Caenorhabditis elegans: one gene and its partners. The protein of the gene in region 3 interacts with the protein of the main gene of each other region in a pairwise test. Each region holds a gene or a part of one and is shown on either strand. Other genes may lie near its edges.

What was found.
Region 1: the proteins of src-2 (region 3) and cyld-1 interact in a two-hybrid assay, tested with the Caenorhabditis elegans proteins (one large-scale study listed by BioGRID).
Region 2: the proteins of src-2 (region 3) and ajm-1 interact in a two-hybrid assay, tested with the Caenorhabditis elegans proteins (one large-scale study listed by BioGRID).

What each region holds. Positions count from the first base shown.
Region 1 is NC_003281.10:9,906,744-9,913,625, forward strand, and holds the start of cyld-1 (ubiquitinyl hydrolase 1), read right to left. Parts: upstream 3,916-6,882; 5' UTR 3,915-3,915; coding exon 3,878-3,914; intron 3,826-3,877; coding exon 3,668-3,825; intron 3,613-3,667; coding exon 3,373-3,612; intron 2,980-3,372; coding exon 2,854-2,979; intron 2,574-2,853; coding exon 2,497-2,573; intron 2,454-2,496; coding exon 2,345-2,453; intron 310-2,344; coding exon 205-309; intron 1-204. Other genes in the region: F40F12.9 (CCHC-type domain-containing protein), read left to right, coding at 6,278-6,356, 6,404-6,535, 6,807-6,882.
Region 2 is NC_003284.9:9,080,011-9,086,897, reverse strand, and holds the start of ajm-1 (Apical junction molecule ajm-1), read right to left. Parts: upstream 3,916-6,887; coding exon 3,814-3,915; intron 2,996-3,813; coding exon 2,837-2,995; intron 1,630-2,836; exon of another isoform or gene 1,427-1,629; intron 1,211-1,426; exon of another isoform or gene 1,069-1,210; intron 866-1,068; exon of another isoform or gene 675-865; intron 613-674; exon of another isoform or gene 465-612; intron 1-464.
Region 3 is NC_003279.8:14,319,422-14,329,314, reverse strand, and holds src-2 (Tyrosine protein-kinase src-2), read right to left. Parts: upstream 7,079-9,893; 5' UTR 7,029-7,078; coding exon 6,783-7,028; intron 6,735-6,782; coding exon 6,613-6,734; intron 5,753-6,612; coding exon 5,631-5,752; intron 4,846-5,630; coding exon 4,648-4,845; intron 4,013-4,647; coding exon 3,942-4,012; intron 2,287-3,941; coding exon 2,023-2,286; intron 1,964-2,022; coding exon 1,675-1,963; intron 692-1,674; coding exon 480-691; 3' UTR 350-479; downstream 1-349. Other genes in the region: F49B2.9 (uncharacterized protein), read right to left, coding at 9,418-9,552, 9,798-9,826, 9,873-9,893. UniProt on the Caenorhabditis elegans protein: Non-receptor tyrosine-protein kinase which may play a role in larval and pharynx development. Unlike src-1, does not play a role in embryonic development.

The DNA of each region.
Region 1 (6,882 bases), on a different chromosome or scaffold from region 3:
AAACAAGGAGCCGCTTGTTCGTTTGTTCAAGAAAAAGAAGTCGATGAGAAGCGCAGAAGTAAGAAGGGAAGGAAGGAACTAGGCACCATACAGCCGGAGGAATAGAAGAAGACGTCACTTTTTGAAATAAGTAGAGGCAGAAGTAGAACTGGAAGACGTCAGGACGGCCACAATAATTGCCTCACGAGGAGACAGCTAACTAACCTGAGAAGTGTTCCCGTCAAAGTCCACATTATACCATATTCCTGATGCTTCCGGTCTCTCACCGATCCACGACACTTTTGCTGGAACCCGTCGCATTGTTTCGTCCTGAAAATAAATTATATTGAAGTTTTCAGAAAAAAAGAGCTCAAAATTAAAAAAAGGAACTAATGGTTCTTGTGCTTTACTATGAATTTTTAAAATTTTTTCAAGAATTATTATTATGAAATTCGCTGGTTTTGAGGCAGTTTCACTATATTATTTAATTCTGAAAATGCGGATTTGGCAATATATTTGACGCGTAAAATATCTCGTAGCGAAAACTACAGTAGTTTTTGAAATGACTACTGTAGCGCAAATGGTCAAAGAGTTCATATCGTTTTAAAATTTAAGACTGCTGAGACACGAAAAATTGGAGATTGATTCTAGCTAAAATTAACAAATTTTTAAAGGAATTTTTGAACCACCATAGGTTTTTAAACACACCAAAAAATGTTCTATTATTTTTCTGCGTCACGAAAAAAGGTAGGTAGGCAATGATTGTATGGAAAAGGGATGAAAAAAAATGGAACTGAAATTGAAAACGGGGCAGCGAATGCGTCAGCCAACGAACAAAACATCATTGTGCATCAGACAAAAAAAAGAAGAAAAATATCACCAAAAAAAGTTTGTCCAACTGATTTTGTTTCAATCAATTCAAGTTCGATGACAACAAATTGGGAGAAGGAAGGGCGTCGCCAATGAAATGAGAAACAAGTTGGTTGAGACGATGAAGAGGAAAGAAAGAAACAACTAAACAGGCAAATAGTTTGTTAGAGAGAGAGAGAGAGAGAGAGAGAAGAGGATAACTTATACTTTCACACAGAGAAAGAGGAACTCTATGTTTTTTGTGTTGAAAAGAGAGAGAGAAAGAACTAAATAGAGAACCGGTTCACGATATCATTGACACTGACCGAAATATGTTTTATTGAACAACATCGAGAGGGATTAAGCATACAGTCGGCAGAAAATTGAGAAATTCTTTCAGTTTTAATTTTAATTTGAATCAGAAGCAAGGGCGTCGGGTTTTCAATTTTTGAAAAAACTAAAAATCGAAAAATCGAAAACTTTTCATTTTTCGATTTTTCTAAAAAGTTTTCGATTTTTCGATTTTTAGTTTTTTCAAAAATTGAAAACCCGACGCCCTTGCTTCTGATTCAAATTAAAATTAAAACTGAAAGAATTTCTCAATTTTCTGCCGACTGTATGCTTAATCCCTCTCGATGTTGTTCAATAAAACATATTTCGGTCAGTGTCAATGATATCGTGAACCGGTTCTCTATTTCATTTTTCGATTTTTCTAAAATTAGCTTTAAAATTTTGTTCATTGTTCTTCATTTTAGAATAAATTGTTTTGTTTTTTTCTCAACAATGTAAACGAAATTAAACTTTAAAAATCATATTTTATGGTTAATTTTCTGAAAAAAAATTGTCTTTTTGATTTTTCGATTTTCCGAAATTTTTAAAAATTCGAAAAATCGAGAATTTTTGTTTTTCGATTTCCAATTTTTCTATTTTGGAAAAACCGAAAAACGACACCCTTTATCAGAAGTATCATAATCTATGTGGATGTATTTTTTTTGTACATTTGAAATTTTCCCGGATTTAATTTTTTCCCGGACCAGAAGAGATAAATATAAATCGAGAGTTTGAGAATAAAAAATAAAAACGAAAATTTCTCGATTTTTTGGACACTAGTAAACTATTTAAGATGAGGCACAATCACTATTTCATTCGAAAAAACAAAAAAATTTCATTATTCGAGCAAGAGACTCCAATTTTTTTTCGATTTTCAAAAAAATTCGTTTTTTTTTTTAATTAAAGCCGGAAAATTGACTTTGTCAGAGCGGAATTTACAGAGGCCTAGCAAAAAATGTGACTCGTGGGCCATTAATTCCTATCCCATTATATTATTTTCAAGAAACTTATAAGTTAGTCATGCCATCGGAATTTCAATCAGTCACGTGTGACAGTCTAATTCTGAATACAAGGAGACGCCCATTTCTCGTCTGCGTCTCTTTATTTTGAATTCGTTGTTTTATTTTTCTTTTTTTTTGGTTAAAAACTAGATTCCTTTGAGAAACATATAATTTCAAATACTTACCACTTCCACAGAAACAGAATCGCCAATTTTCAGATTCAGAATGAAATTGAACCATTCGAAATTTTGATAAACTTCTATTCGTTTCTCTACACTGACAGCCAGAAGATGTCTGAAAAGGGAAAAAATTTTATTTATAAAGATAATAAATATACATTGCTTGATCTTGGTTTATTCTCATTACATCGGATCTGGTAATCATTGCACAAATCAGAGGAGTGCAGTCGAGTTCCTGAAATTTAAAAAAATTGAGAAACTGAAAAGGCATTAATTTGACGAAAAATTTTGTGCCAAAAATACGGTAGCCGATCTCGAAACGACAAATTTTTGGAATTTTTATCGATTTTTTAATCGTTTTTTCAAAAAAAAAAACAAGAATTCTGGAGAAAAACTATACAAATTCAATGAAAATTCGCCGGGAACGAAAATTTTGAATTACAGTTCTTTTAAATTTGTCGCGTCGAGACCCGCTACCGTAGTTTTAGCCGCAAAAATCAGGGTAATTACGATACCTCCATGGGCATTGCTAATCCATCACGTAAATGCGAAGAAGCTCTTGATTTTGTGAACCATTCTTTTAATTCAGACATTTTCCAATCATCATCTGCCATTTCGCGAACCATTGTTCCTGGTGGGATCTGAAAATAGAAAATAAAATTAAAAATGTTTAATTGTGGAAAAAATAAGCAAAAGACCAAATTTCATAACGAAACTTCTCCAAAATGCTTTACAAAAACATGATTTCAGCTAAAACATCAAATTATGCACGCTTTTGAGTGTCGGCCGGATTTTTTTCTCATATTTTGGTTGTTTCTCCGTTGATCAATCGATTATCGGCTCAAAAATTACCTAAATCAACAAAAAAAGCGTTTAAAAAACTTAAAGATGACAAAAAATAAATAAAAATCAAATTTCGGCAGCTACGACACGGAGAATTGGCGATTTTAGATGAAATTCTGTTTTTTTCCCCGAAAACTATCGCTATTCGGTCTTTTTGGCTCATTTTCCTCATTTAAATCCACTTCAATCACCTCAATAACACATGGTTCTTCCTCTCTTCCATAATTCGATGAAAATCGAATTCCTTGAACTTTTCGTTGCAAAAGAGCAACTATTAGCTCGGGAGAATTCCTATTCCTATCCAGCTTCGTCGTCCTATCTCGGCTATAATCGCTAACATCCACTAATTGATCATCTAAAAAGCCGGAGCCAGAAGCTTCATTAATAAGCTCAAATCCATCTATTAATGTGCCGACCGGTATATTTTGATTCTGAAAAAAAAAACGAATTTTTAAAAATCGATTTAGCAAGAATAATGTTACTTACGAGATTTAATCTGTTAGAATTGCTTGTATTTTCACTTGTATATAAATTTGAATTTTTCTCGGACTGTGTAAAATAATCAAAATCGTGTGCAGTTAAATTTGTTATTGTATTTGATCCCGTAAGTTCATCGAGTGGGTTACGAAATTGATGAGATCCAGCTGAAATTAAAAACATAGTTTTAAAAAAAATTATTATTATTTCGTAAAATACCTGATTGCTCCGGAAACTTTGCAAATTCGCCGGGCATTCTGAAATATGCGGGTTGTTTAGAACGTTTGACGAACGACAACATTTCAATAAATGAAATAAAGATTCGTACTATAAGTGGAGAGCGGTGGACGAAGCGCGCGCGCGAAGCTCAGTGTTACGTTTCGGTGAGCAAATAGAAAAGGACGTTGTCCAAACAATTATTAGACTTCCGCATCATATACCTATTTGGTGTTGAATAATATTTTTGGTTTTGACCTCGGGTTTTCCTTGCGCGCTAGGTTTTTTTTGCCGAAAAATAAAACATCGAGCAAGCAAATGACAGAGAACGTTTTCGAAAGAGAATGAGAGAACGAGAGCTTTGACACAATTATTTACAGAAAGCGAGGGAAAATGATAAGAGGCTTGCGGAGCAGATAGTTTATGTTGCAAATGCCATTTAAAATTGCGATTCTCTTCAAAAATGGTAAATTTTATGCGAAAAAATGTAGGCAAAGGTTGAGCATGTTTCTGAAAAATTTATTACGGAATTTACGACGAAAAAATCTTTAAAAATCGCTGAAAATGTTCAAAAATGCATTTAAATGAAACAAAACAAAAATAAAAATTCAAACATGTTTCAAGGGAGGTGCATGTCTGCGGATGGGTCTCGCCGCGCGCGCTGGAAATAAAGTTTTGGTGTCTGCGCCTGTTACTGTACAATTTCTAGGCTTGTTTTCTTCGATTTTATTTGCGGAAAGAAAATTATTGTGTCTTCTAATTTTTTTAAAATGTTCCATTATTTTGTTATTTAACTCAAAATTAATTGTTTTTATAGTTAAAAAAACATTGTTAAAATTCTACAGTAACATTTAAAGGCGCACACACTAAAATTTTATTTTAATTATACATCGCGTGGCGGTACCCAGCCAATATGAGATTTTCCGATATTTAGCGACAGGTTAACATAATTTTTCGCTTTATTTCTTTCTTTTTGAAATAAAACGAAGAAAAAAGATAGTAGTTAGTGGAAAGTGGAAAGTGGAAAGTTTTCAGAAATCAAAATTTCAAAAATATCCAGAATTGCTTTAGAATGAAAGAAAACCGACAAAAACCCAGTGAGCAGATAACAAGATTCCCAGAGCCCACCCCATCTCAAATAGAGCTTCAAATTGACAATTTAAAGTTTAGAGCAACCTTTTCAAGGGTACCAACATGACTAAAAATGTTGTGGCTATTTAAATGAGTATTTGGGTAAATACAAATTTTTTGAGATAAATAAAGAAAAGATGTAACATTCAGATTGCATGTACGTTTGTTTGAGTGCGGTCCAGGCACATGAGTTTATTTGTCAAAAAGATTGGACATTTTGAAGAAGACGAGAACTCGAAATGTAGCTGGAAAGTTTTTTGAAAATTCAAATTTAAAATATAAATTAAAAAATACAGAACCTTTTTTAAATCAAACCGAACACGCAGTTCAATGCAAAAATCGATAAAAGTCGAGGAAACGGAAAGACCGGTTCTCTTGAGGATAGACGGACAACGCATTCGATTGGACTTGCGCACCAATATAAACAACAATTGAATGCAATAAAAATGTAACTGAATCCATCTTATGGAATAGTGGAAGTTATCACATTTAATAAACAAAATTAATAGTTAAAAGTATCAACAGAAAATACATTAAATTATCTTTTCGTCTCTCCTATTGAACATTGAGTTATTCAAGATAATATTTTTTAGCTAGAAATGACGTGTGTTGAACTATTGTGTGGCCTTAAGTTTGGAACCATAATACTATAATGTGAACTTAAAGACGCACGGATTCATTCAGATGGGTCTCGTAGCGATAATAATAACCGGGGCTCATCTTAAAGTCTCCAGTAGTCGCTTTTTAAAAGGAGTTTGAGATAAAATACTTAGAATTTGAAGAGAGAAATAGGATTTTAAAAAAAATTAATTGAAAAACTAACTTGGAGAAAAACTATTAATATAGAAGTGAAAAATATATTATCTAGCCAGGTAGGACGGAAACTGAATACAAAAAAAATATTAAATTCAAACTGCCGCGTTTCTTTTTGCCAGTGTGTCTAATTCTCTTGGCACATGGTCAGAGAGGTTTCGCAAGAAATATTTCAACATTTTCTTGATTACCAAATATGTACAATTATATATCTAAACAGATAACTTTTCATTTGCTAGAAAATAGTATTATATTTATTATTAATAAAGAATTTTTACATTTTCCAGAAATGTGAAAATTCACAGTAAAAGTTTTGGCAAACTGCCAAAAATGTTCAGTCACTTATTAATGCCAAAATTTTTAAAAATTAATTTTGAAAAGTTTTACCGTATTATTTAGTTAGAGCTACTTTACCTGTAAATATTTGTGACTCACTATCAATATTCCGAATTTTCAGTCATGCCCCATAACAATTGCTGTAAATTTCAAGAACCCACTGACAGTTCTGAAACCTCAAGCATGCACAATTTGGAACAAAGTTTAAACTTTATATGGCATAATAATTAAGTTACTTGTTTCTTACAGGTATATGCTACAACTGCCACAAACTTGGTCATATGTCTCGTGATTGCCCTGAAGAACAACCTAAAGCATGTTTCAAATGTGGATTCCGTGGACATTATTACCGAGAATGCCCATCACAAATAGAGAAAAAATGTAATCACGGGGAAAACAGCGAATTGAAAAGTTGTTATCAATGCCAAAAAACTTCAAGTTCATGAAATAACTTATCGTGTCTCTTAACTTTTATTCGTGCAAAAATAGCTTTATATTTGTTGATAATAAAATATTTTTACTTTTTCAAAGGAATTTGGATAAATGTGTCATAAAACATACTTTAATAGAAACTTGAGAATATTGTGTTCAATCTATGTGAAAAGACGTTCGTTACGTTTTCTGGTTTTCATACTAATGATCACTTTTTCAGTTGTTTTTCTCATTGCTCTGCTGGCAGTTTACAACACGACGTTTGCATCTAATAGTGTCTGCCACATCACCAGAAA
Region 2 (6,887 bases), on a different chromosome or scaffold from region 3:
ACAGTAGATTTATTGACGCAAAAGTAACCACTCTTATTTGACTATTCATTTTTTTTCGAGTACATCAGAAGATATTCTACAGTTATGATGCATAAACGACATAATGCAGGTTTTGTCAGTGACAGTTTTTTTATACGGTTTGATAAAGTTTTGAGAAAAGTATTTGCAACGTTTATGAGTCTTAATTTTTTTTTTTTCAAATTTTCCTATTTTTATTGTGTATTTTTTACATCTCCGAGAGAGCGTAATAAATTAAAAAGTTTTAAAAATATTGTTTCAATAAAAAAAAACAATTTTGATTCTAATCAAAATGCCAAAACATTTGATTGACAATGGAACATACTATAACAATTCTCAATAAAACAGTTTCTTCAATTTGGAACACCTAATATAAATAAAACCATGAACTAAAAACTAAAACTAGAATACTTTGTTTTTAAATAGACAAAAAAGAAAGCGGCTACATGAAATGGTCAAAAGTATCATCTAAAAAGCGGGAAGTGGAATGAAAGAGAAGATAATACTGGAAAAAAAACATTGTGCAAACAATCAAATAGATGTCGAGACCGAGATTTGCACAAACGGGGGAAAAGAGCTCACCGCTCTACCTATCCAATTTTTTATTTATTTTTCAACCTTAGATATTGGTTTTGATTTTGGTTTTTATTCCACTTTTTATCTAATAGTAAGTGTTAACCTTCAATTCTTTCGCTCTATACAGAACCTCATAAATCAGAAGGTGTGATGGTGATGGCATTGAAAATTGTATAAGGAGAAACACAAACGAAATGAAATCTGCGTAAGATCATAGTTGTAGGCTCTACAATTTGATTGACAGGCGGTTTGGATTAATCTACCTTTTCGGAGTGAACGGAACGTTGTACACTGAACGGATATGATGACTAATTGGTAGTGACGGTACAATGATTTGATGACAAATGACCAGAAAATGAAGAAATCCCGAGACATAAAGAAAAAACAAAAAGTGCGAAAGATTGGTGACTTGAAGAGGAATAGAGATGGATGCAAAAGTCAAAAAATCAAACATATTGTATTATATGAACACAACGATGTACAGAGAAAAAAGAAAAAGGGGCAAAAAGGCAGAAGAGCTGGCGGGGTTGTTTTGTGTGAATCATCTGAATAAACAGGGCTTTTTATATGCGTTAGCTGGTACGTATATGCATATTTGTGTGTATTGACAAGGTGGCTGAGGTTGGTGCATCTCCTTTTTGTATACCGTGCAGTGCACGGCAGTATCTTTTTACTCGACTTTTCCCAGTTGGCATCGTTTGAGAAAATTTTCCGCAACTTAGTTTCACTAAGGAAAATTATGTAAAAGTAAAATTCACTTTCACTATTGAGTTGTCGGCTTACACTTCGGTTCTCCTTGGGTTTATCAAAGAAAAAAATTATGTTGAATTTAATATTTCTTAGTTGACTATTTTGACTATTTTATTTTTTTTTGATAAAAACAAAAATTACCCAAGTACTGCCAAGGTGGAGCAAGAGGGTACAAGTGTTTTTTTTTTCAAATTTAAAACACGAATAATCCCTACAATAATCAATTCACTACAAATATAAGTAAAAATTAAAAAGTTCAAGTTCGTTAAACCTACTAAGTATACTAAGTAATTACAATCGAGACATTTGCAGATTTTTAGTTGAACAAATAAATTCTAAACTGTATAAAACTCGTGAATATAGAAAAGTAAAAGTATAACACAAATTCAACATATACACCACAAATACCACATAAGAAGCCAGGTAGTAGCACATTAAAAAACACGACAGAGGTTAGTGGCCAAGACGATTTGGAGGAAGGGCAAACGTCTGTGACCCTCTCTGTTTTCTGCCCCTCTTGACATCTCCAACGGAACAATTGAACAGTTTTAATAAGGTTGCTAGAGTCTGGTGGAATGAATGAGTCGAGATTTGATGAGTTGAGTTAGATGGTTCAGAATTGGTAATTTGAAGAAAATTGGCCAAGTGGAATTGGGAAAAGATGCGAATTAAGAACTGAATACTAAGGTAGGTAACGTAAATTAAACTAAAAATAAGCAAATTTCTAGTCAGTGACTCATAATCAAGACATGGTTATTAGATAAATTTCAGGAAAGAAATAATAATTTTGACACTTTTATAATTAAATTTTTGATTTATTGCTTCACGTACAATTTTGAATAACACATGTGTTGTGAGTAAATTAATTGTGAATTTTTGCTCAAAAGTTGTATAATTTTACAATGTATACATTCTATTCCGTTACCACTATTATTAAAATTATCTTCATTCAATATCATCTGGAACTGTTCGAATGTGGGGTATCCCTAGCATATTAATATGATCAAGACATTTACACTATCCGAAAATAGCCAACAAACATATCAAAAATGTATATAATTTTTAAATCACACACAAAATCAAAACAAAGTAACATTTACTTAGTTTCAATAAATCATTTGGAAGTCAACCAAAAAATACATGTCCTGTCAGTTTTACACATTAAGGAGATTCATATTATTTTTATATATACATTGTTGTGTTCAAATCTCCAGTAATGCCCAAAATAATTGAGAAATTATTTGAAAGCAAGACATTTTTTCAAAAATAATTCTTATTCTCCCGAAAATAATTCTTCCGAAGAACATGAAAACTTAAAATGTGTGTAATTACGATATTTAATCGTGTTTGACAATTATTCATATGTGAATGAAAACAAAATTCCGCTTTCAAGACGTTAAATGTTAAAACTCAGTTTTTAACCTATACGGCAAAAGTATAAAAAATTGATAATGTCTTGTGAAAAGAAAAAACAATCAAGAAAAGGTCTCACCTGTATAAATACACCCTCTTCTACAATTTCGGTGTCGGAGCTGGTATCGGATGAGGAAGACGACGCCTCCTCAACCTGAATATCCGGATTTGCCGCCGTGGTGGTAAGTCGTTTCCGGGCCGTGGCGAACACAATTATACGTAGAGAGAGGACAAACGCCTGAATTCAGAAAGCAAATTAATTGGTGAATTGTTGTAAGAAGGTGTGTGGGAATTGAAATGGAATGGTGAAGGCGTCAAGAATTCAAATTTTCTCTAATGAATGGATAGTGTATCTACTGGACTAGTTTTCCTCTTTCCTCTCAGTTTTCAGATCGCCAAAAGGGCAAAAAGTTATCGGAACGAAGGCCCTTATGTAATGAGACGGTTGAAGGGCCACCCGACAACCACAAGACGCAATTAGTATCCGAAATGCAATGATTATTAGAAAAAAGTGGAAGTGTGGTGGTCATGTCTGCAAGCGAATGTACGAGATCCACAATTGCACGCTTTTGCTGCCACCCATACGCGAAACATTTTGAATTTAATAAATTCTGAGAGCGGAAAGCCCGGTGTAAAAAGAAGAATATGCTTGGAAATAACACGGGAAACTGTGAGAAATTTGACACGATTTAAAGAAAAAGATCCGCATTTTTGATACCCTTTTGTTCTTATTATAATTGAGAGAGGGAAGGGTCTCAGGCTGAACGCTTATTTTAAAGAAAACATATGTCAGATTCAATATCATATAGAGGGATGTGATATAAATATAAAGATGGACTGAAAAAAAATCATCGTGAAACTTCAAAAATTTTTTTAATTATTATCCAATATTTACGAATTTTGACAATTTTCGAGAAAGGCGCGAAATCTGAATGAATATCTCTTCTCGAATGAAAATCTCGTTTTGGCCTAACTTTACCTTTAAGTTAAAAAATTTAATAGGAGTATTTTTAATTTAGTATTAACTTGTATTAAAATTATGGCAAAAATACTCACCAAAATAGCAGAAAATGCTGTCTGTAAGATGGCGTTGAAGCCGTCCGGAGGACGACTTTTCTGTGACCTGTTGTTTGACGATTGTAGATTTTCTATGTCCATACAATTCTGAAAAAAAAACCTTTAAAATTTTCATCATTCCTTTTTGGAAAAGCGGATAGAATTTCAATCAAATTGCCTACATATTGCTGAATGTAGAATAATGGGTTTCAACAATAAAAAATGATTCAATAGGAACATGAATTGTTGAACGGAAACTTAGCAATTTAAAAAGGCTTGGTTAGTTTTTTATACAACAATTTGAAATCATTGTTTTGTTGAATAAAAAATTTGAAGAAGGAGACATGTGCGACCACGAGATGTTCCATGATTCAGACTATGATGTATCAACAACTTTATGCATATGTAGTGAAAAAATACGATGATGGGAGAATAACACACACGAAAATGAGCGAAAAACAAAAGAAGGATGTGCTACGGAAGAAGTAAAGAGCTCTCAGGTTTCTATTATGTGCCAATTTCTTTGTACTGTCAAGAAGAGAAGAGAGTGTGGTGTTTGCTCGTGAGTTCTGGCGAACACGAAGACAAGTTGGTAGCGCATAACAATTGCTTGTGCCGCACTAAACCACTTTTGCAAAATCTTTTATCTTCTTTTATCTCTCTAGTGATTTCAATCATACATACGTGCCAGTTTCACACCACAGATTACTGTGCAATAATGGAGTTACATCAAACTTCAAGCTAGTAAAACATTGGGCTTGGTTAGAAAATCAAAATTATTCGTATTTCTTTGTTAAATACAATAAATACTCTTCATATAGAAGTTACATTCTTTTAATAAAATGACAAAGTTAATTACAAAACAAGTTTTGTGATCTACAGAGGTGCGCGGGAATTGGAAAAAAAAAGTATCTCAAATTCTAAAATTTTTGAATTATCTCAAGCAAACGGATGACAAAAAAACTCTACTAAAATACACATGACATTTCAAGCTTAAATTTGTTAGGTTACAAGATTGCCAACAAAATCCGGCAATTCCTGTAATTTTTATTTCCAATGTTTTCAAAATTACCAAATGTCGCGCACCCCTGAAATTGAAATAGTTCCAATTTTGAGTTTAAAAATATTTAAAAAAAAATATTTTAAAAACATCATCTGAAGTTTTCAGTGTTACCAATTCATAACGTGAATAGTTTTTGGCACAGAAACAATTCGAATTTGTTTGAATTTAGATATTATATTATTTTATTAATGATAAAAATATAGTATTCAGAGGTGCAAAAAAACTAATAAAATGTAAAACTAAATTCACAGGAGATGTCGACCAGCAACATGTAATACAACATGATATGTATACAAAACAACAACAAGCAGTAGCAGATTAATAGTTGCATACTTTAGTAACGGTTAATGATGATGTTTTGTGAAAAGATGAGGATAAAAGCTTAGGTTTTTTTTTAAACTCCAGACTTGATTGATGAATTCTAGGTGATTTTGAACAAATTCTGAAAACATATGCTACTCTCCAAATGCAATTGTTGAATTAATCTAGGCAAAATGATGATGGAGAAATTTATAGTGCATTTATTTATTATGAATATAAATATCGAGAGGAATGGAATGAAAGATAGTCGGGAGTGAGAATGAGCGAGAACTCGTAAAATTGTAACGAACTACAGATGCGAAAAGTGATAAGAAATAAAGATGGAAATACAACAGATTATGATAATGTTTGTGCATGATGTTATGTGTTATAATTCGGTTTAAGAATGAAAGTGGTCAGGAATCTAGAGGAACGTTGAAATTTCGAACTACTTTTTTTAAATGAATCTCACTAAACAAAAAATTAAGATTACACGAATATTGAAAACTGTTTAACTTTGCAAACACAATAGAATTTTTTTCAAAACGGATTGCCTCACACTATGATATGACGGATTTTCCGGTCACCGGCACCTGTCAAAGATGATTAATCAATTTGTTTATTGACATTTCTCTCCTCGTTCACCGATAGTCTGATTATAGGGAAAAGGACGAAAAAGGCGATGATAGGATGACGGGCGAAAAGCTTTAGATATAAATATTTATTTGTTAAATGGATTAGATCACTTCCGAATGATGATTTCATTCAGGACGTTTGAAATAATATTGTCTAATATTGGTGGCTAAATTAAGGCAAAATATTAAATAAGTCAATATTACCGAGATTGGAGAATGATTGCACTACATATTAAATTTTCCAAAAGATATCTATTACTACTAATAATAATTTACATCAAACCTCGTAAATTTTTATCGAAAAAAAAATTTAATAGAGAATTTTTTTGAAAGTGGCATTTTTGTAACAGGTACATTTTGAAATAAATATTTTCATAAGGGGTAGACGGCAATTGCCGAAAAAACCGATTGCCACAATTTTTAAAACTCAACATCTGCCGAAACATCCGAAATGCCCAACATTTTAGAATGCCGTCCATCCCGGATTGTGACTCAAAAAAAATCTGTTAAATAGTTGTACTTATTAATTATTCAGCAGTGCTAAAATGAGTTAGTTAAAAATATTTTGATTTTACAATAAAACATAACAACCTCAAAATCAAGTTAAAAAATTTTCATTATTAATGCTAGTGATATGTACCTTTATAATAAGCAAAAAAATCTGCGACAAAAAACCATCCTAATAACAGAAGCTTGCAAACATTTACTATGATTGATTATAGTTATTATGATAAAAAAGTGGAACCGAACGTTGCAAAAGTGACAATGTCTTGTGTGAAAGAATTGAATTCCAATTCTCAAGTCCAACAAAAGAAAATCGGAAAACAGTTGTGAAAACGATGGCGGAATGCCCGATTACTACTCATAACAGTTTGAAAAGTCGCGAATTGGATGAATAGTCACAATGGCCATTGCCAGAACGGACTGTAGAAGTTTAGTAGAAAATGGAAATGAGGTCTATTTTCATCTCATTTTCCAAGAAAGTAACCCTTTTGGAAAGAAAATAAAGAAGGCAGATATGACCCGTAAGACGGAGATTTACGATAAACGAGAGAGGGTCGAATAGAAATTAGTGC
Region 3 (9,893 bases):
TCACAATTTTTGGAATGGAAAATCCTAACGCTCATTGATCACTTTTTCGTTGGAGCGCATTTGCAATAAAGTATAAAATATCGAGTTTTTGTTAGAAAAGTTAAAAAGCCGAAAAATTGAAAATTGGACTCAAGAAAGCACCAAAAAATGCGAAAAATTGCTAAAAAATAATAAAATTCTTCAAGCTTTTGAACTAAAGCCACTTCCACTGTTTGTGTGTGTGTGTGTGAATTTGAACTTTTTACCTAGACCCCCCTCCTCTCCTCGATATCCCTCTTAATATTTGCCGATCATAAAGAAATGTTTGAAATGTGATCAGGTTACTCTTACCTGGATCTTAAGCCTGGATCATAAGAAAAATCAATAATTTATTAAAAAAAAAACAGTATTGAGCAAAAAAGAACACACACAGACAGAAAAAATCACAAAAAAAACCCGTAGCTGCTGTATATAGGCACCCAAAAGTTTCTCTCTCTCTCTCAGAAATTTATGCTGGCCTCCTTATACTCGGAAGAGTCCAGATTGAACAGATCCTCCAACTTCCATTGGAGGGTCTCAAAGGTTGGCCGTTTGTCCGGGTCGCTTCTCCAGCACTGTTGCATTATGTCGTAAAGGGTGACTGGGCACCCGGCTGGGCACGGCATACGGTACCCGGCGTCGACTTGTTGTAGGACTTCGGCGTTTGTCATACCTGGAAATGGTAAAGAGGTGTCATTGTAGTGTGATCTACATAAATTGCGGGGGGATTTTCGCTTTAAATTTGCCATTTCATATTCCCAAATGGTTCGTAAAGGACCAGTTTAGTAACCTAGACGTGGTGTCAGGCTGCCCCATTTCGGTTTGATCTACGTAGATCTACTAGAATTGCGGGCATTTAGACGCAGACTTTTCAACTGATAAACGTGCTGAAGTCACATTCTTTTAAGGGAAAAATTACCGCATTTTTTTGTAGATCAAACCGCAATGGGACAGCCTGACACCATGTGCTCGTGTGACCTCCGGAAATGGCGGGAAATTTCTTTTTTGAAATGTGTGGCGTGTTTCTGGGGTACTACACGGTTTGATCAACAAAAAATGCGGGAGTTTTTCGTTCTAAAAATCACTTTAGAACTCTGCGTCTCAACTCCGCGCATTTTTTGTAGATCTACGTAGATCAAACCGAAATGGGACACTCTGACACCACGTTCTACAGTAAAACTTAGGCTACATCGCATTTTTCAAAATTTGAATTTTCCGCGATTCCCGGAGATCAAACGGCGAAGGGCGCAGGAATATTCCACATTTTAGTTGACGCGACCTATTCCCAAAGTTTTGCGAAATTTTCAAGGCCCCTTCAATAAGGGACTTAATTTTTATAATTAGCGAACTGGTACCATTTTGTAAAAAAAATAATTTGACCTCAATAAAAGGCGGGATGTTAGTTTTCAAAAAAGCTCATATGACGTCAAAATTTTTAATTCAAATTCCCGCCACTTCTGGAGGTCATGCGGCAATGAGACCATCTTACGTTGTGTCAGGCTGTCTCATTGCGGCTTGATCTACAAAAAATGCGGGAATTTTTCTCCCAGAAAATGGTGACGTCAGCACACTCTTAACCATGCGAAATCAGTTGAAAAGTCTGCGCCTAAATTTCCGCAATTCGTGTAGATCAAACGGGTCGGTTCAAATCCTCACCTGGATAGGGTAACCGTCCGAACGTGACAATCTCGGTGAGCAGGATTCCAAAACTCCAGACATCCGACTTGGTTGTGAATCGATTATAGTTCGCCGCCTCGGGCGCCGTCCATTTTATCGGAAACCGTGCTCCGGTTCTTGCTTCGTACTCGTTCTCCTTCATCAATATCCTGGCTAACCCGAAATCTGCGATTTTTACAGATAGGGAGTTGTTGATAAGGATGTTTCGTGCTGCTAGGTCTCGATGGATGAAATTCATCTCCTCTAGGTAGGCCATTCCAGCGGCAACCTGCAAAACTTTTTTTGAAATTTTTTTTTAATTTCGAGGAATCCGAACGTGAACCTCACCTGCGCCGAGATCTCCACCAGCTGAGGCATCTGACACTGCCGACCTCGTCGCTGTAAGAATGTGAGCAGATTCTCCTGCATTAGCTCGGTGACTATAAGAATCGGCTCATCACGTGTGCAGACTGCATACAGGGACAGAAGCTTCGGATGCCGGAGCTTCTTCATAATCTGTGCCTCGGCTAGGAAATCCGTAGGATCTGCGGTTCCGGCCTTTAGCTTTTTCACAGCGACGGGGACGTTCACATTCCATCGGCCTTCCCATACCTGGAAATTGATGGTTTATGTAGTACATCCAGGATCTGCAAGCTGATTTGCAAGTGCGCTCTAATTAAAAAATGACAAATGTTCTCACTAGAGCGCACTTAAACATGCAAGCATAAGGGGGGGGGGGGCGGGGTTAGGTAAAAAGTTCAAAGTTCAAACACACACTTTAGTAAGCTGTAGTAAGAATTTTCGTATGTTTAGCCATTTTTCGCATGGTTTTGAAGCTTCATAGATTAAATTTCTTACAAAACTCATATTTTCGTTCATGCTTGCAAATTTAAGTGCGCTCTAATGAGAACATTTGTCATTCATTTTAGGGCCTTGCTATCTATATTCGAGGTTGAGTTTTTACTCATGGTGCATCGACATTTCCTTATAACCCTAGTGGTAAATCTCTATGTTCCAGATCCCTTCGTTTTATGAGATCTCCTAGCGGAACTGATGTTTGTAGGGGAGTGATATCATGTTTCAAACCGGTCCTATCTGTTTCAATATTGGCGGCTGTAGCTGCTCGGATCAGGAGATGGAAAAGTCAATAGAAAAAGGGGAAACCGTTTTATCCGGTTGTTTTAGGATCTACACTAAAAGCCCCTGGATTAAGAAAAACACGGAAAAATAAAAGCCTGAAGTTTTTTAGTCCATAGGCTGAGAGGTTTCTGGGAGTTACACTCAAAATAAAAAACTAATATTTAGGCCCCGCCTTTTTCTCGTCCGCTCACGGAGAAAAGGCAAAAATATTGACCCTAACCAATATCAGGCCGCCGACATCTCACGGGTTTCGCGCGCCGCTGCGTTTAACTTGCTGTGGGCGTGACGAGCTGTCTCCGCCCGCTGCGAGTTAAACGCAGCGACGCGCGGAACCCGTGAGATGTTGGCGGCCTGATATTGGTTGGGGTCAAAATTTTTGCCGTTTCTCCGTAAGTGGACGAGAGAAAGGCGGGGCCTAAATATTAGGTTTTCTGCAGTACACGCCACGCAGTTTTTTTTTATTTTGAGTGTAAAGTAGCGCCTACACGGATTTCTGGCTCCCCTCATAAATTGAGATGGAAGAGTTTGCCGAACAAGGCCATTTTGGATCGGCCATATCTGGGGTAGAATTACGGCGCGTTGCGTGTCGCGTCGCGGCTCGATTTTAGTTTTAAAACTTGTTGTAGTTGTCCGTGTGGAGTGCACGATTTTCCCACGCGTTGTCCAGGTCAATGGAGCGCGAAAAAATCAATAAGGAAGGCCAGAACCCCGTGCGCCTAGAAATATCAAGAAAAATTCTTGCTCATGCGATTTTTTGGGGTTTTTTTTACAAAAAAACCTAAAATTTTTCAGGCTCTACCCTAACAATTGTAATTTGGGGCTACACATGGTGCATCGGGGACCCACCCCCCCCCCCCCCCCCCTGCAATTTTCCCCTAAGATCATCTCCTTACCCCCACTCAATTAGCATATCTTCTCCTGTTTATCTCGTTCTCCATCAATTCTCTATACACACACACACACACACACACACACACACACAAATATACATCAAACACGAACGGAATAGGCAACAGGAGGAGGAGGAGGAGGATGAGCCTGTGCACACTATTTGGCGGGCTGTGGGGCTGGCGGGCAGGCAGGCAACGTGAATAAGCAAACAACCGAAAGAGAATGATGATGCTTACCTCTCCAAACTGCCCGGCTCCAATTTGTCGAATGAGACGAACCGAACGGCGGTCCACTTCCCATTGGTCATCTGGAATGGGAATTTTGAACATTTTTAAAGGTAACTGGGCGCCTTGTGGGTCCCTGGAATTGTTTGGCCTAGTAGGTAGGCACAATAATGCCTGCCTACCTTTAAGTCAACTTTGGCCTGAATTAGGTTCGCCTTTTGCCTACTGGATTTACCTAGGTTTGTAGTAGGTATCTAAGCATGTAGTAGGTATCAAGGTATGTAGTAGGTATCTAGGCAAGTAGTAGGTATCTAGGCACGTAGTAGGTATCTAGGCATTTGGTAAGAATCTAGGCATTAAGTAAGCACCTAGGTATCAGGTAGGCATCTAGACACGTAGTAGGTATCTAGACATGCAGTAGGTATCTGGGAATGTAGTAGGTTAATAGGCACGTAGTAGGCATCAAGGCATTTGGTAGGCATCTAGACATCAATAAGTTACCTAGGTATATAGTTGGTATCTAAACATGTAGTAGGCATCTAGACATCAAGCAGTTACCTAGGTATGTAGTAGGTATCTAGGCACGTAGTAGGTATCTAGGCATGTCGTAGGTATCTAGGCATGAAAAAGGTATCTAGGCATGTAGTAGGCACCGAGGTATCTAGTAGGCATCTAGGCAGATGTAGGCACCTGTCAGGCATAAAAACTTCCAGCTTACCATATGTGAATGTCGTTGTCTGTGGGGCTTCTGACTTGGCACAAGGAGCTCCCAGATTCACACAAAGACCATCGGCTTCTCGTTGGTAATGTGCAATCAGGTCGTGTAACGTGGCAAACGGGCGCCTCCGGGCGATAAAATACCCGCCGTGGTCCAGTTGACGGATACGGTAGTGCTTTACGCTGTCGTTCTCTCGGACTGCAAGAAAATTGGGATTAATAGGGGGATTTTGGACTACAAACTACAATCTTCAAATTTAAGAAAACTTGGAATTTGATGAGTTTGTTTTTTTTTTGACAGTTTTTGGAATGTTACAAAGGAAAAAAAAATACTGAAATATTATAAATTTGAAAAATTCAAAATTCCCAAAAAAACGTTTTTTGGTAACTCTCAAAAGAGCTTTGAAAGGTTTTCTACAAACTACAAACTACAAACTACAAACTACACACTACAAACTACAAACTACAAACTACAAAGCACGAAATACATATTTTTTTATAATTTTTCAGAATTGTAAAATTGAAAATAAAGATAAAAACTTTTTGTAATACTTTCAGAAAAAATGAAATCTATCAGTTTTTCAAAAAACATTTATTAAAAAATTAGAAAATTATTGGCAAAAAATTCAATAAAATTTTTTTAAAAAAATCGAAAATGATTTTTCGAATTTTTTAAAAAAAGTTTTAAAAATTAAATAAACATCTATGTATATTCCATCTATTTTTGACAGTTTCCATCTAAATTCCCCCATCCCAAATTACCCATCTAAACCCATCAAAATCTCCCAATTTGCCTCCTTTCTCCCAAATTCCCATTACTTTCGGAATCATAAAAGGTCGGGGCGAGCGGGGATAACCTCTTTTCTGCCTCTTACTGTCACCGCGCCTTTCTCATTTTGTTGTATCCGACCTTGATTATCTCTCCCAGAAAACCGGTTTTCGCCCGCCATGTGCCCTATGGGGCGCCCTTAAAAGTTCACTGACCTGATAATGATAAATCATGCTGTCGACTTTCGGAATCTCTCACTAAAAATGCTCCGTGCTCATTTAAAGTGTGCAATAGACATTTTTCCGCATCGATTCGCCGCATTTTTCCAAAGTACCACCTGGAAATTTGTAAAAATTTAGATTTTCGGATTTTTAAAATCTTATTTTTTGAATCCCTGTAACTCTGCAATAAAGCAAGCTATTAAAAAGTTGTCAACTATTAAATTGTAGCAAATTTTATGTTCTACAGTTTGCTAGTTGCCAACTTTTTGATATCAATCAATTTTAAAAAGTTATCATAGTTTTAAGGCCTACACGGATTTCTTCTAGAAATCCCTATAACTTTTTAATGGTGTTAGCTATAATATTAAAAAGTCGCCAACTAACAAAATATAGGGAATATTAAGTACTTGATTTTAGGTACTACTACCAGTGAACTACAAAATTATTCGAGTTTTAAGGTTTTAATGTGAGTTGGAATTTTTCTAAGTTTCGTAAAAATGTTATTTTTTTCAAAATTTCGTTAAAGCTATGTAACTCTACAAACATTAAGTTACTGAAAAGGTTCAAAATACGAAAATGTAGTAAATTTTACAATTAACATTTTGTCAGTTGACAACTTTTGCCGGTAAAAATACACTTAAAGAGTTGAACCATTTCTACGCCTGCTCTGATTCCCCGCTGACACCTCTAAAGTGCTATAACTCTTCACTGGTGCTAGCTATCAAAAAAGTTTAAACTAACAAAATGTAGGAAATTTTCTGCTCTACAATGTGCTAGTTGACAATTTTTTTGTATCTCACAAGCCAAAGGAGTTATGACAGTTTTAGTTACACCTGATCAAGCCCCTGTGACAACTAACAAAGAGGCGCTGGATAGCTCAGTAGGTAGTGGTAACCACCAGCAATCTGGAGGTCACAAGTTCAAGTCCGGCCTCTCTCCCTAGGCTGGCTAAAAATTCAAAAAAAAAAAAACTTACGGCTGTGACTCGATACTTTTCTCCCTGGCAACATAATTCGACGGGATATACCCAGTCCGTCCAGTTGCCTTGTGCCTGGCGAACCACCAGTCTCCTTGGGTATCATTTAGAATTTCAAGGATCTGAAAGAATGAGATATGGAGTTTCAAAAAATAAAATAAAAAACTAACATCATCCTTCTTAAAACTCAAATCATCATCTGTCCGTGCATCATATTGGAATAAAGCGACAAAATTCGCAGATTGCGAGATATTCTGATTTTTATCAATCGTATTTCCACTGGAAGACGCCGCAATCGGACCGATGGACGGAATTCGTGGATGACTTGGCAGTGACTCCCTTCCCAACGTGGATGACGTGTGGACTGGTGACGTTGCACCAGGCGGTGGATCCTCTTTTCCAATACAGGATCCCATGGGGAGGAACGGACGATCCTGGTGTCGTCAGTTTTTTGATTTGGGAGGTTCTGGAAGAAATTTAGATAGTTCTGGTTCATTAGGGTTCGCTGGACAAAATATAGCGTTTTAAAATTGTCAATTAGCAAATTGTAGATCAAAAAAATTAAATTTACTACAACTTGTGAGTTGACAACATTTTGATAGACACTAGCACCAATTAAAGTTATAGTTATAGGGGTTTCCAGGAGCCAGGGCAAAATAGGTGTGGGCGTTAAACTGCCATGAATCGTTTAAATATATATATATATATATATGCCAATTTGTTTTTTGATATGCCAATTTGTTTTTTGATATGCCAATTTATTTTTTGATATGCCAATCTATTTTTTGGTATGTCAATCTATTTTTTGATATATATATATCAAAAAGTGGTCAACTAAAAAATTGTAGATTTCAAAGCTTACTTCGTTTTATCAGTTAAAAACTTTCTGACTACTTGACACGCTGGGGAGCTACAGGGTTTATAAATCCAGAAAATTCATTTTTAGCGAAACTTTAGGTGGGAATTTGGAAAAATGCAGCGATAAATGTCTGCTGCACAATTTAAAGGAGCCTGGAGCATTTCTTTGTAAGCGATTAAAAAAAAGGGCCCAAGAAAACTTGCAAAAATTTTTAAGATGATCAGTCAAGTAAAAATAATTTTGGACTAGTTTCAAAAAAGAAATAACACAAAACTTGTGAACCAATAAAATACTTAATGCGAAATTTTCTTATATTTCTTCGTTATGGGGTTTCAGGGGCAAGCTAGGACTAACTAGCTGTATTAAATCGACTATAACACCTTCAGATTAATAAATATAAAAAAGTTGTCAACTAACAATACATTACGCATAAAATTTGCTACATTTTTTTAGTTGACAACTTTTTGACATCTAGCCCCAATAAAGAGTTGTATGGATTTCTAGGAGCCATAAAAATAACTTTCTGGACTACTACTATATCTATTTTATCCTGAAAAATATGAAAAGTTGTCAGCTAATAAAAATCAAAAAATTTGACCGTAAAATTGGCACTAAATTATAATATATGAGTTACAACTTTTTCAATATATCAATCTTCTAGAGTAGAAAATTCAGTTTTTAAAGTAAAATTTCAAGCTAAAAGGTTACAATAAAGCAGGAAAGGAACTCATAGTATTAATCGAGAACTATTATAATTTCAGTGCCTAGAATTTAAACTGAAATTTCTCTCGAATAAAGTGAGCAACAAAATTTAGGGATCAAAGTTTTTTAGGCTAACAATATTCCGACAAGGTGTCAGAGTGTCCCATAACGGTGTGATCTACAAAAAATGCGCCAACTGTTGTCGCACGGTTAAGAACGTGTTGACGTCACAATTTTCTGGGCCAAAATTCCCAGTTCCAGGAGTTTTTCAGCCAAAGCTAAAAAATCTTTTAAAAAAGGCCTAAAAACTATGTTCCAAAGTAGTAGTATAATCTAAAATTGGGGGACCTAAAAGGAAAACTACATTTTCTATCTTTGGCGAAAATTGTATAATAAGAACTATGAAAATACAAAATATTAGGTAAAAAACCCAAAAGCCGGAAAGAAATTCATTTAGCCGGTTGCTGGCTAGCCCACCGTCTTTGGGGTGAAAAAGAAGAGGGAACTGTTTTTGTCTCATTCTCTCTTCATCCCTCTCACTATTTGTCCACCGAGGTCAGGCATCTCTCTCTCTCTCTCCCTCTCTCCGCCGCGCCGTTTAGCAAACATTTGCGGAACGCGCGTGCCTTAAACTCCCAATTGCAGGTAGCATACTGATCCCAAGAGACGCAGACCTACAAAAATGGCAATTTCGACAGCAGCGGAGGCGCCCGCGCGCTGGTGGGAAAACATCTTTTTTTGCGCGCGGAGAGGACAGGGAGAGAGAGAGGATGATGAAGCTGTCATTATCAAATTAGATTTGATTAACAGGCTAGGGATTTAAGCTTTCATTGGATCGGTAAACTTTTTATTAAAATTTTTCAAATTTTTTGAGAAAAAAGAGCGAATTTCTGGAAAATTCTGGAAAGTTGCAGTAATTTGAGAACGGCTCCAGAAAAGAAAACTTCAGGAAAATGTGTAACTGCTAAATTTTTAGTTTTAGGAGTGCTTTGGATTCTAGGATTCTACAAATCTAGAAAAGATGATATATTTGCTAGTTAATAATATTTTGGTCGAACAACTCGGTGTCACACAGCATTCTCGTAGATCTAAGTAGATCAAACCGACATGGGACGGCCTGACACCACGTGCGACTCAGTTATTCAAAATTAGTCGATAGAGCGCACTTTGCCGACTTTATAGTTTTCTGTAAAAGCGGGCTACATGTAGCGACAGACAATTTGCGGGCGGGAATCTAATGTGCTTTATTCAAAATCTTTTTTATAATATTCCAAAGAATCAATAATTTTCCAAAGGATCAGCCACTTGAGATGTTCATCCGTATAGGATGGTTTCGGGATTTCCAGAGGGGCTACCCTTTGGGGCATCTCATCGGAAATCTGAAAAAAAACAAGAAATTGAATTTAAAGGTGCCCAGCTGTCCCATCACGGTTTGATCTACAAAAAATGCGGGATTTTTTTGCTCAAAAGTTCTCTGAGCATGTGTGAGCACGTGAGCACGTTCTTAACCATACAAAATCAGTTGAGAACTCTGCGTCTCTTCTCCCGCATTTTTTGTAGATCTACGTAGATCAAACCGAAATGGGACACTATGAGAGATGTGAGCCTCAACCAATATAATTACGTCTGAAAGGGTGTCATCGTCGCGGACTTCTGAAAATTAAAAAAAATATATAAAAAAATTACATATTCAACTCACTTCTCGGCTTCTTCTTCTTCT